Arabidopsis thaliana: one gene and its partner. The protein of the gene in region 1 interacts with the protein of each later gene in a pairwise test. Each region holds a gene or a part of one and is shown in the gene's direction. Other genes may lie near its edges.

The links. The genes of interacting proteins can lie anywhere in the genome.
Region 2: the proteins of INO (region 1) and TCP8 interact in binary tests that used the Arabidopsis thaliana proteins (3 or more experiments, as listed by UniProt).

What each region holds. Positions count from the first base shown.
Region 1 is NC_003070.9:8,315,202-8,320,976, forward strand, and holds INO (Plant-specific transcription factor YABBY family protein), read left to right. Parts: upstream 1-2,095; 5' UTR 2,096-2,128; coding exon 2,129-2,323; intron 2,324-2,420; coding exon 2,421-2,558; intron 2,559-2,659; coding exon 2,660-2,810; intron 2,811-2,903; coding exon 2,904-2,952; intron 2,953-3,071; coding exon 3,072-3,147; intron 3,148-3,283; coding exon 3,284-3,382; intron 3,383-3,822; coding exon 3,823-3,903; 3' UTR 3,904-4,290; downstream 4,291-5,775. Other genes in the region: AT1G23410 (Ribosomal protein S27a / Ubiquitin family protein), read left to right, coding at 1-209. UniProt on the Arabidopsis thaliana protein: Essential for the formation and the abaxial-adaxial asymmetric growth of the ovule outer integument.
Region 2 is NC_003070.9:21,511,082-21,516,454, reverse strand, and holds TCP8 (TCP family transcription factor), read left to right. Parts: upstream 1-2,265; 5' UTR 2,266-2,569; coding exon 2,570-3,775; 3' UTR 3,776-4,123; downstream 4,124-5,373. Other genes in the region: AT1G58110 (Basic-leucine zipper (bZIP) transcription factor family protein), read left to right, coding at 70-196, 334-536; AT1G58090 (F-box and associated interaction domains-containing protein), read right to left, coding at 4,830-5,373. UniProt on the Arabidopsis thaliana protein: Can specifically bind site II elements in the promoter region of PP438/PNM1.

The sequences.
Region 1 (5,775 bases):
CTAAGAAGATTAAGCATACGCACAAGAAAGTGAAGCTAGCAGTTCTGCAGTTTTACAAGGTTGATGGAAGTGGGAAAGTTCAGAGGTTGAAGAAAGAGTGTCCTTCTGTTAGTTGTGGTCCTGGAACTTTCATGGCGAGTCATTTCGATAGGCATTATTGTGGGAAATGTGGAACTACTTACGTGTTCAAGAAGGCTGATGAAGAGTAGGTTATGTCTTTTTGCTTTTGGAATTTAGATTGTTTTTTTTTTAATTCAGATATTTTGAGATGGTTTTATACTATTGAGGGATGGTTTAATTGTTGCATAATACATTATATTATCTTTGATTAGAAATTTGATCAATTTTTTTTTTGTTTCATTATGCTTTGACTGATGTGGAAATGTTGAATTGTGGCTGTAGAATTAGGACGTTGTGTTGGAACAATTCTTTGCGACATTGTTTTAGTTTTAACCTGGATTAGTGCAAGGCAAAATTTAGCCATTATGTTGATTCTGATCATATTCTTACACCAATGTCTTGAAGTTTTGTTGTTGTTGGCTCTGATAACTTGTTTGCTAAGATAAGTTTAAATTCTCTCAGATATTGATTATGTGTTTGACATTAACGTGCGTTTGTCTTTGCACATTTTATCGTCATTTCACAGCTTCTATTTATGTTAACAGTGAGATTTGACCAATCTATAAGCTGTCATGTAAAAGTTTGAGACTAGAAATGAGATGTATATCAGTATATATGGAGTAAAAGACTGTTAAACCAGAAGCCATAACTATGATTACAATGTATAATTTTAACCTCTAATCTCTCAAATCACAAATGTGTACCTCCTACTCAATTACTCATCAATAGGCTTATGAAAATGGATCGAAACTTATTAATGGGTCGGTAAATTATGTGATCTCTCAAAATGGGTCGAAACTTGTTCACTCCGGGGTTGGGTCATTGCATTGGATTCCACCCACACAAAAATTACAAATGTGTAGGAAATTGAGTAAATATTAGTATTATGTTTAGTCTTTTTCTTGTGGTTGAACACAAAATAGGAGATGAGAGTAAGTGAGAGAGAGAGAAAGCAATAAAGAGAGGGACAGTAGAAATAACATGACACAGAGAGAAAGCACTGAAACTTGAAGAAATAGAGAGAGAGAGAGAGAGAAGAGTTTGGGTAAAATGGTCAAGAAACAGTTAGCAAAAATGTGAGAGAAGAAAGACAAAATCCTAAGATTCCGAGTTACTAAAAGTGATGAGTCTCCTAGAAACACCCGCACTAGTCTCAACTCACTGCACTTTCATTTTCAGTCTCACTTCAACCAAAACTCCAAAAGACTGTTGAGTTTTGTGAGAGATTCATTAAATCCCATTTAAAGAGACAACTACACATGAGACAAAGAGGCATTTCTTTCTCAACCTCACTTGTTTTTTTCTTTCTTTCTAACTTGCAAACCAAACCACACCACCACATCACATCATTTATTAACCCCAGCTCTCTTCGATGTCTATCTATCTCCTCTTGTGCAACGTGCCTTTCCATTTTCACATGTTCATTTTTAATACTCATACTCTTTACCATCGATTTTTATCTCTTGTTATTTTTTTGTTTAACCTAGTGTTATCTTACAATAACACATATTATCTTGTATGCTTATTTATCAGAAAAATCCTGAAATGGTTTTTGAAGGGAGCTTATATATTTTCTGTTTATAGGTTATTAAGTGTTTTAAATTGTTTTGACAACAAAAAATGTCTCCTCTAATGGTAAACGCTCAAACGTTATGTATCATTTGTCATATATATTTTGTGAGTGTGACATAACATAAAAATCTTATAACAATGCTTTTGTATAACGAAAATTCTTAATTAAACTCCATCATCAACAAAAGTATTATATACATCATTTTATTTTATTTTATTTTAGAGAAGAAAATGTAGTTTGAATATTAAGGAGTTAGGAATGTGATTAATAGAAAGAATGAGAATCATTTACTGCTTACAGCTCATAGAGACTATGAAGATTCCAATTATTACAAGTGAGATAGAGACGTACATAAGTTGAATTGTATTGTGCATTTTAGCATATAACCAAAGCATTCCACATGAAAGATATAAATATAATTACATATTTGCATTAATGAATATTAACAAAACCTATCTCTCTGTCTATATATACACACACACACACACACATATATCTCCTATCATTCATCGTACACACACACTCTCTATGACAAAGCTCCCCAACATGACGACAACACTCAACCATCTATTTGATCTGCCGGGGCAGATTTGCCATGTCCAGTGTGGTTTTTGCACCACTATTTTGCTGGTATACCTTAACTTCTTCTCTTATTCTCTCCCTTCCTTTCTCCCTTCCTCTCTTTATATATATGATCATGAGTTTAATGAGTGTAAATGTGTTGCAGGTGAGTGTACCGTTTACAAGCTTGTCAATGGTGGTGACTGTGAGATGTGGGCATTGCACAAGCCTTCTCTCTGTCAATTTGATGAAGGCTTCCTTCATTCCTCTCCATCTCCTTGCTTCTCTCTCCCATCTTGATGAGGTTTCCATAACATCTATACATAGACAAACACACACCATCTAAATATGACCAATATATATATATATATACTTACTTTTGATTATATGTAAATATATGTGCAGACCGGGAAAGAGGAGGTTGCAGCTACAGATGGTGTGGAAGAAGAAGCATGGAAGGTGAATCAGGAGAAGGAGAACAGTCCAACGACTTTGGTTTCATCTTCAGACAATGAAGATGAAGATGTGTCTCGTGTTTACCAAGTTGTCAATAAACGTACGTTTGAGTATAAATTCAACTTAAACTTTAGTTTTGCGATTTCTCCTTTCATCAGTCGTCTAATTATGTTTTGAGTTTGTATATATATAGCACCTGAGAAGCGACAAAGAGCTCCTTCAGCTTACAATTGCTTCATCAAGTAAGAAATAAATTCAACACATTACATGTGTATGTATATTATATATATTCTTACAAATTTAACCACTTAAGGTTTTGAGTTTGTAAAATGGTTCTTCTTTGGGGGTTGTATTGGAGCAGGGAAGAGATCAGGAGGTTAAAGGCTCAGAATCCAAGCATGGCTCACAAGGAAGCTTTCAGCTTAGCTGCCAAAAATGTACTTAAGCTTAATTAGTCTTAAGATTTAAAAGAAAACCCTAATATAGTTTTCATCTTTTTGTTAGCTTAATTGACAGATCGAGTTAGCTAATAACATTTTATGATTTCAATTTTTTGATTTGGGGATGGCGAAGTGGGCCCATTTTCCTCCAGCTCACAACAAGAGAGCTGCTTCAGATCAATGTTTTTGTGAGGAAGATAACAATGCGATACTACCATGCAATGTTTTTGAGGTAATCCTCAGCAACCATTTATATTTTTTAATCACTTTCGCTTCAAAATCAATTACCATATTCTTGACAAGTAAACTCCACAACAAGTGTCATTTTCCAAAGCAAACCAAATAATTAAAGCATTAACTAGATCCAAATAGCATCGCTCTCAGTCAAAATTTCAGAACCCTAGCTAGACTAATTATATAAAGAGAAATCATTTACTAATTATTAGAGTGAAAGCAAGGAGAAGGGTAAGTGAGATTGTGAGAATATATCATTGATCTTCAACTACTACAATGTGTGAAATTTATGACCTAAACCCTTTTATAGTATTGAAGCTTACACTGCACACAGTTTACTTTTATAGAAACCCATTCAACTAATTTAAAACATTGAAGCTGAATATGTATAGTTTTCAATTAATATACCAAATAATTGTTGAAATGTTTGTGATGCAGGACCATGAAGAAAGCAATAATGGGTTCCGAGAGAGAAAGGCTCAGAGGCATTCCATTTGGGGAAAATCTCCATTTGAGTAATAACAATTTGGGATATGAAAATTTAACAAAAAAATAAATAATGGCGTATGACATGTGATGGTGACTCTTTTCTTCTAGGGTTTGATTATGTTGGTTTAGGGTTTCTGTTGTTGGAGAGAGATAGAGAGAAGAAGAATCTGAAACGGAAGTAGGATTTGTGTGTGTTCGAGAAGAGTCCTTGGGAATGAGCGAGTTTGTTCAGTAATTTCGTAGTACTTGTCAACTTTGAACTTAATTTGAAGAGACATGCATTGACTCTATAAAAAAAATTCTACTTTTGCATTCATGACTACTCTTATTCCATGAATGTTTTAACATTCCATGAAACAGTACTTTAGTAAGAATCTTTGTTAACCTATCATAATAAAGATCCTTCTTGACTTCGCGCGCTCAATGCTTTTGTACGTACGATGGAGAAAAACACTTACTAAAAAAAAAACACTTTTTGTTTTGACATTTGACCTTTCTAAGTTACTTTTTTTTTTTGTCGTCTGAAAATTTATTATAGAGATTCCGGTGAAATACAAAAGTGAAATATAAAGCCGGCGGTTAACAAGTAACACCAGAAAACTAAGCCGACGATTAAAAGGATAGTCTTGGAAGCAAAACCCAAAGGAAAGGGAGACAACAAGGCAAAACAAACCTTACAAACAAAGCAAAGTTGCGAAACTGAAACAAAGAAGCAGACCAAAACAACCAAAATTTTAAACACAACATCTCGTCAACCACATTACCAGACAAAGGAAAGGCAGAGCTTTACAACAAGCCACTCCGTAGGAGACAAGGAACTCCCAACCAAACGGACAGCGGTGCCACCTATTACGATGAAGACTACCTTACATAGAAGAGTTCCAAGGAATCCATACCGGCGAGAAGAACTAGGCCAAAGACGACAAGTCACACCTACACTCCCGGAATCGGCGAATTAAAGAATATGATTGTTTAGCGCCTCGAAGGAAACCAGCCAATGAACAGATGAGATCTCGATCAGATCTTTAGAGTAGAGACAAGGAGAGAACCAAATCAATTCGGACCACACCGAAAAAGAAAAACGGGAGGAGATCGAACCGGACAGAAACGAAAGCAACCACCAAGCCTGGTAAGAGGCTAAACGAGAAGAAGGCTAAAACATGACCGGATCAAGAGGCGCTACTAGCAACATAGACCAACCCACAAAAACAACATAAGCCATCTAAGAACCATTCGAAAATCCCTACACCACAACGCACATAAACTAAGTAAAAGCAACATAAACTTTACAACAGAGCAAGAGACGCATAGCTCCGGCGCTATGGAAGCCACCAAAGCCAGCCAACGCAAACTGAGATCTAGATCTACTTTTAGAGAGAATGAAGAGGTTTTAGAGTCCTCCATTCTTTACACAAATTATTATTAATTTGATCTTTCTAAGTTACTAGTATATAAAATATATAACCATCAATATTCACGAAACAAGAAAGCTAAAGAAATCAATTTCCATGATTGAAGTTACTTTGACAGTATAAATTACTTCATCCTAAACTATATTAACATGCACTTTTTTCTTTTAGCTTAAAAAACCAGAGCAAGTCTGATCTTGCAAATGCATGAAAATCAAGAGTTGGATCTATCGGAATCCTTTATTATATCATTGACTTTTTTTGCAGTAAACTGCCAGTGGATCTCATGAATCTAAAGAAACCATAGTTAAAACTTAAACCTGAACCGATCAAAAATTAAACTCGTTAGTCTTTTGTCACGGCGAGGGGATAATAAGAAGAAAAAAATTATATCAGAAGAGTGTTTTTTTTCGGATAAAGAACTAATATACTTGTCAATGAGCTTAATTTGTTTTTGTTTGCTTTACACTACGGACGGCTCTGACCGTACGAA
Region 2 (5,373 bases), about 13 Mb from region 1:
GTAAGTGAAAGATGTAGTAGATTACAATTTGTGCAGCACTGAAGTATGGATTTTATTTTGTGACTATAGGCAGAAGGCTCCAAAGTTTCAGCTGAACTTGATTTTCTCAACCAGAGGAATCTTATTCTGAGTATGGAAAATAAAGCTCTCAAGAAGCGTCTCGAAAGTATAGCTCAGGAGAAGCTTATCAAACAATGTAAGTTTCTCGCAGTTTCTTTTAGGTTCTTAAGGTTCAAACTATAGTCTAGAGTATGAGTTTGTAAGTATTAGCTAGTTATCAAGATTCAACAGTTCTTAAGATTGTATACCTCATGAGTTCTGTCTATTATCCAGTGGAACAAGAAGTGTTGGAAAAGGAGATTGGGAGACTACGAGCGTTGTATCAGCAACAACAACAAACTCAAAAACCATCAGCCAGTCGCGGACGTGCTACTAGCAAAGATCTCGACTCTCAGTTCTCCAGTCTTTCACTGAACACCAAAGATTCCAACTGTAGGCGTGACTCTGTATCTGTGATGGGTCAATTCCACTTTTAGTAAATGTCTCTCTACCCACTGGTTCATTAGAGATCTTAAGGGCCTGGCGACTCAACAAGATCAGACCCTTATCTACCGCCTCACCACAGACGTTTTTAACTCCCCCGTCGTTTCTTTTTTTTTCTTTTCTTATGGTTGACAAGTTAACTCACCAGTGCACCTGGAAATCCTATATTACTTCCAGGAGATGGCTTGCCTGAGGTGGTTTAGTTCGAAGATCAGACACCTGGACTTCATTTATCTGGTGATTGTTGTAGCGACTTGTGTAATATATGGGACGAATATATTCGAACCCGGACTCATCTCTGGAGTTGTACTATGATACCCACTGTTGTATTTTATGTTACTTGTAAAATGGTGCATTCCCTTCGAGTGAATGCTTCATGTAAAGTTGTTGCCATTTTCTGTAGTACTATCCCCAAGCGTCAAAATATTTGATTGCCTCAGATCTGCACTTAATTTATATGCACATTTACAGCTATTTCATTGCTCTTTGTCAAGCCTCTTGAAGGGCCTATATCAACTCAATTGTTATCAGAAAGTAAACTGGTTAGCATTGTTGTCGTTTGGTTTTAGAGGAAACTGAAACGGCTACATTAGAAATGTTTTTGGTAGGCGTGGGCAAAATACCCGAACCCGAAGAACCGAACCGAACCTGACCCTAAAAACCCGATCTGAATTCAAACCCAAAATTTTAAAATACCTAATCAGATCCTAAACTACAAAACCCGAATCCGATCAAGTTTCTGAACATATCTGAAATATATATACATAAAAATAATTTATTAGTAATAATCATATTTACAACAACTATTAAGTGCATAAAATATTAGATTTTGTATATATTTTGGATATTTTACCTACTTTTCGATAGATTCGGATAGAAAATACTCAAGTTTTTTGGAATTTTTTTTGTGTATTTTCAAGTAATTTAAATATATTTTGATACAAAATTTTGAGTTTTGGATATTCCGGATGAACTCGAATCCAAACCAAAAAAACCCGATCTGAATCTGAAATCTTAAAATAACTGAACCGTAAACCCAAAAAGACCCAAATACCCCAACGCCTTACCATATTAAATTAGGAGGAAACCCGTTCATAAATAATTTTTCGGGTTTGGGCCACAACAGACCGGCCCATTTCAACCGGTTCATAAATTCTAAATACTAGAAAATTCCAAATTAGATAAGTTTTTGTCCATCCTTTCTTTGGGATTCTTGACGAGTAACGTTTGATGTCTTTCTTAATTTGGTTGAATGATCAAATTTGTGATCCAAATTCTTACAAACTGATATGTTAATGAATCTATAACCAAAATAACGTCTAAAACAAAAAGCTGTAACGATTTGAAAGTGCATTTTTTCCCAAAACTATATAACTAATTAAAGAATTTAGTGTCATTTATCTAATGGATATACTTTTAACAAAATCTTATAAAACTAAAAATATTTAAGACAAAAGTGAAATGGAGATACGGAGGTGGATTGTAATGAGCTGTCCCCACCTGCAAAAATACGCACGCTTCACTGTCTGAAAGATGCTTATCTCTCTCTTTCTAACTTTCTTAATCCACAAATCTTTTTTAAACCTTTTTTTATTGGTGCTCTAAAATTGGTAAACAATAATGTTGTGATGAAAATAATGTAATTGAAAAATAACATAACTCATATTTGGGTAGAATTTTGATAAAAAAGACTTAAAATAATTGTGAAAAGTTATTTTTCTCCCCTAATTACTTTTTGATTTATATAATAACTAATCAAAAATCAATAAACGTTTTATTTAATGTTAATGACGGCATATATATTATTTATTTTAATAATAATATCCTCTTGCTGGAAAAGTCATCCACCTGCTTTTACATCATCAAACCTTTTTTTCTCTCATCTCTCTCTCTCTCTTCTCGAGACAAAGAAGAAGACAAGAGTCAAACTTGAAGGCGACAATCGGAGCTTCCATGGCCGTTTCTTCCTCTTTCACCAAACCCTAATTTCAATTTCATCTTCTTTTCCCTTCTTTCTCACCGGAAAATGGATCTCTCCGACATCCGAAACAACAACAACGACACCGCCGCCGTCGCCACCGGAGGAGGAGCAAGACAGCTAGTTGACGCATCTCTCTCAATCGTTCCCAGATCTACACCTCCCGAAGACTCAACACTCGCAACAACCTCATCTACGGCAACGGCGACTACAACGAAGCGGTCGACTAAAGACCGTCACACGAAAGTCGACGGAAGAGGACGTCGGATTCGTATGCCGGCGCTATGTGCAGCTAGAGTTTTTCAGTTAACGAGAGAGTTAGGTCATAAATCCGATGGTGAAACTATTGAATGGCTTCTTCAACAAGCTGAGCCAGCTATTGTTGCTGCTACAGGTACAGGAACTATTCCGGCGAACTTCTCTACTTTAAGTGTTTCGTTACGAAGTAGTGGATCGACTCTCTCTGCTCCGCCGTCGAAATCGGTGCCGCTTTACGGTGCTCTTGGATTGACTCATCATCAGTATGATGAACAAGGAGGCGGCGGTGTGTTTGCTGCTCATACGTCGCCGCTTTTAGGGTTTCATCATCAGCTTCAACACCACCAGAACCAGAATCAGAATCAAGATCCGGTGGAAACTATTCCTGAAGGTGAGAATTTCTCTAGGAAACGGTATAGATCGGTTGATTTGTCTAAAGAAAACGATGATCGGAAACAGAACGAGAATAAATCTTTGAAAGAAAGTGAAACGTCGGGTCCTACGGCGGCGCCGATGTGGGCGGTTGCGCCGCCGAGTAGGTCTGGTGCTGGGAACACTTTTTGGATGCTTCCGGTACCGACAACGGCCGGTAATCAAATGGAGAGTAGTAGCAACAATAACACCGCCGCAGGCCACCGTGCTCCTCCTATGTGGCCATTTGTGAACTCTGCTGGAGGAGGAGCGGGAGGTGGAGGCGGAGCAGCGACTCACTTTATGGCGGGAACGGGGTTTAGTTTTCCGATGGATCAGTACAGAGGAAGTCCACTTCAGTTAGGTTCTTTTTTAGCTCAGCCGCAGCCGACTCAGAACTTAGGACTAAGTATGCCGGACTCGAATCTCGGGATGTTAGCCGCTTTGAACTCGGCTTATTCAAGAGGCGGAAACGCAAACGCGAATGCGGAACAAGCGAACAATGCGGTGGAGCATCAAGAGAAGCAGCAACAGAGTGATCATGATGATGATAGTAGAGAGGAGAACTCAAATAGCTCTGAGTGAGTGATGTAAACTAATCTTGTGAAATCATTGAATGTGGTAAGAAATTGATTTAAAGCGTTTGTAGCGGTTTGGTTGATTGTTTTATTGTGAGATTTTGTGTGTTGTTGTTTAGTAGTGTTTAGACAAGAACAATTTATGTGTGAAGGAATTGTTAGGTTTGGGTCCAAATGGACTCTCATGGGTAGAGAATGTTTTCAATGTATAGAAGGAATGATAGTCTTTTCGATTTTTCAGTTTTCATTGTTGAGTTTCTTATATTTTTGTAGGATAAAATTGCATTCAAACCAAAAGAATAAAAATTGCATAATTAATCGCAATTAATAAGTTCCAGTGAAAGAGTTGGTGACAGATCTCACTTCTTTTCTGTATGCTACTTTTGTTTGATTTCTTTTTCGATCGAGCAAGGTCTTCTGCAACTGTTCTTTTTTCTGGCACAAGGATTTTCAAGGCACTAGTATGTATATAATATAAGACACACTGTTCTTTACTTGGAAAAAATTGAGTTTGGATACTTACATGATAGATATTCTAATAACATGCCTAGATGGTTTAAGCAAGCTAGGTTGTATACATCTACTCATTAATGTTTATTTTCAATACTCAGTGTCACTGGGCTTCCGTTCTCTTATTAATTTCAATGGAGTGCTAAAACTAACTTTGGGGAAATAGATAGTTGTTTGGTTCAAATATTTTGTACACATGATATTATTCTAAGACAACATACACGCACTAAGTTAGTTTTCTGTTTTTGTCCTAGTCCGCGCTAACATTTTGGCTTATGTTATAACTTCCTTGGTTACAGTATTCTCCTAATTTGAGCGATAGGTTATAGTGTATATAAACAGGAATCACTGATAGAGAAAGGACGTCGTATATCTTCCCATGCTCACAAATTAGATTATCAATTAACCGAATTAGGCCGAACAAATTGTGGAAATCAATCCTGTAAAAGCTTTATTAAATAATATCTAAATAATACGAAAGCAACAATGAATTTAAAACTTGTAAAAGTTCTTCTTGTTCAGTACTAGCTTCAGCGAAAGTCTCTCAACTCTCAAGGAATGGTGATCAAACTGGGAACATAGACAGAGGATTGAAACTCACATAGCACTTGATCTATCTTAATCTTTTTGCACAAATCTCCCCTCACAATATACACCCAAGCTGCTTTAGGTCTCTTGCTAGGACAACACAGAACAAAGCTCTTCCCATGGATATCATTATCGACAAAGTAACTTGTAGAGATGTAACTAAGTAATATGGGGAAGTCAGGTCTTGAGACTGTCATGAACTTAATCCACACCACATCGTCTCCATCATCCCCGTTACCAATTTGATCCTTTGTCACCCAAATCTCAATCTCCCTTGTTTTTTTGGATTGTTCTAACACTGAAAACCGATCTCCCTTGTAAATCGAGAGGATACGAGTATGTGTAGTACTTTTTTCCCCCTTACACGGTAAAACACAAAAGGTCTTTCGACTCTTTTCTATCTCTTTCGAAAAATCGAGCATTGCGATGAAATACTGACCAGTGTGGGGAGAATTATAAGCTGTCCAGTACAAATTTCCATTCAGGGAGACCCTACCGGAGTCGTCC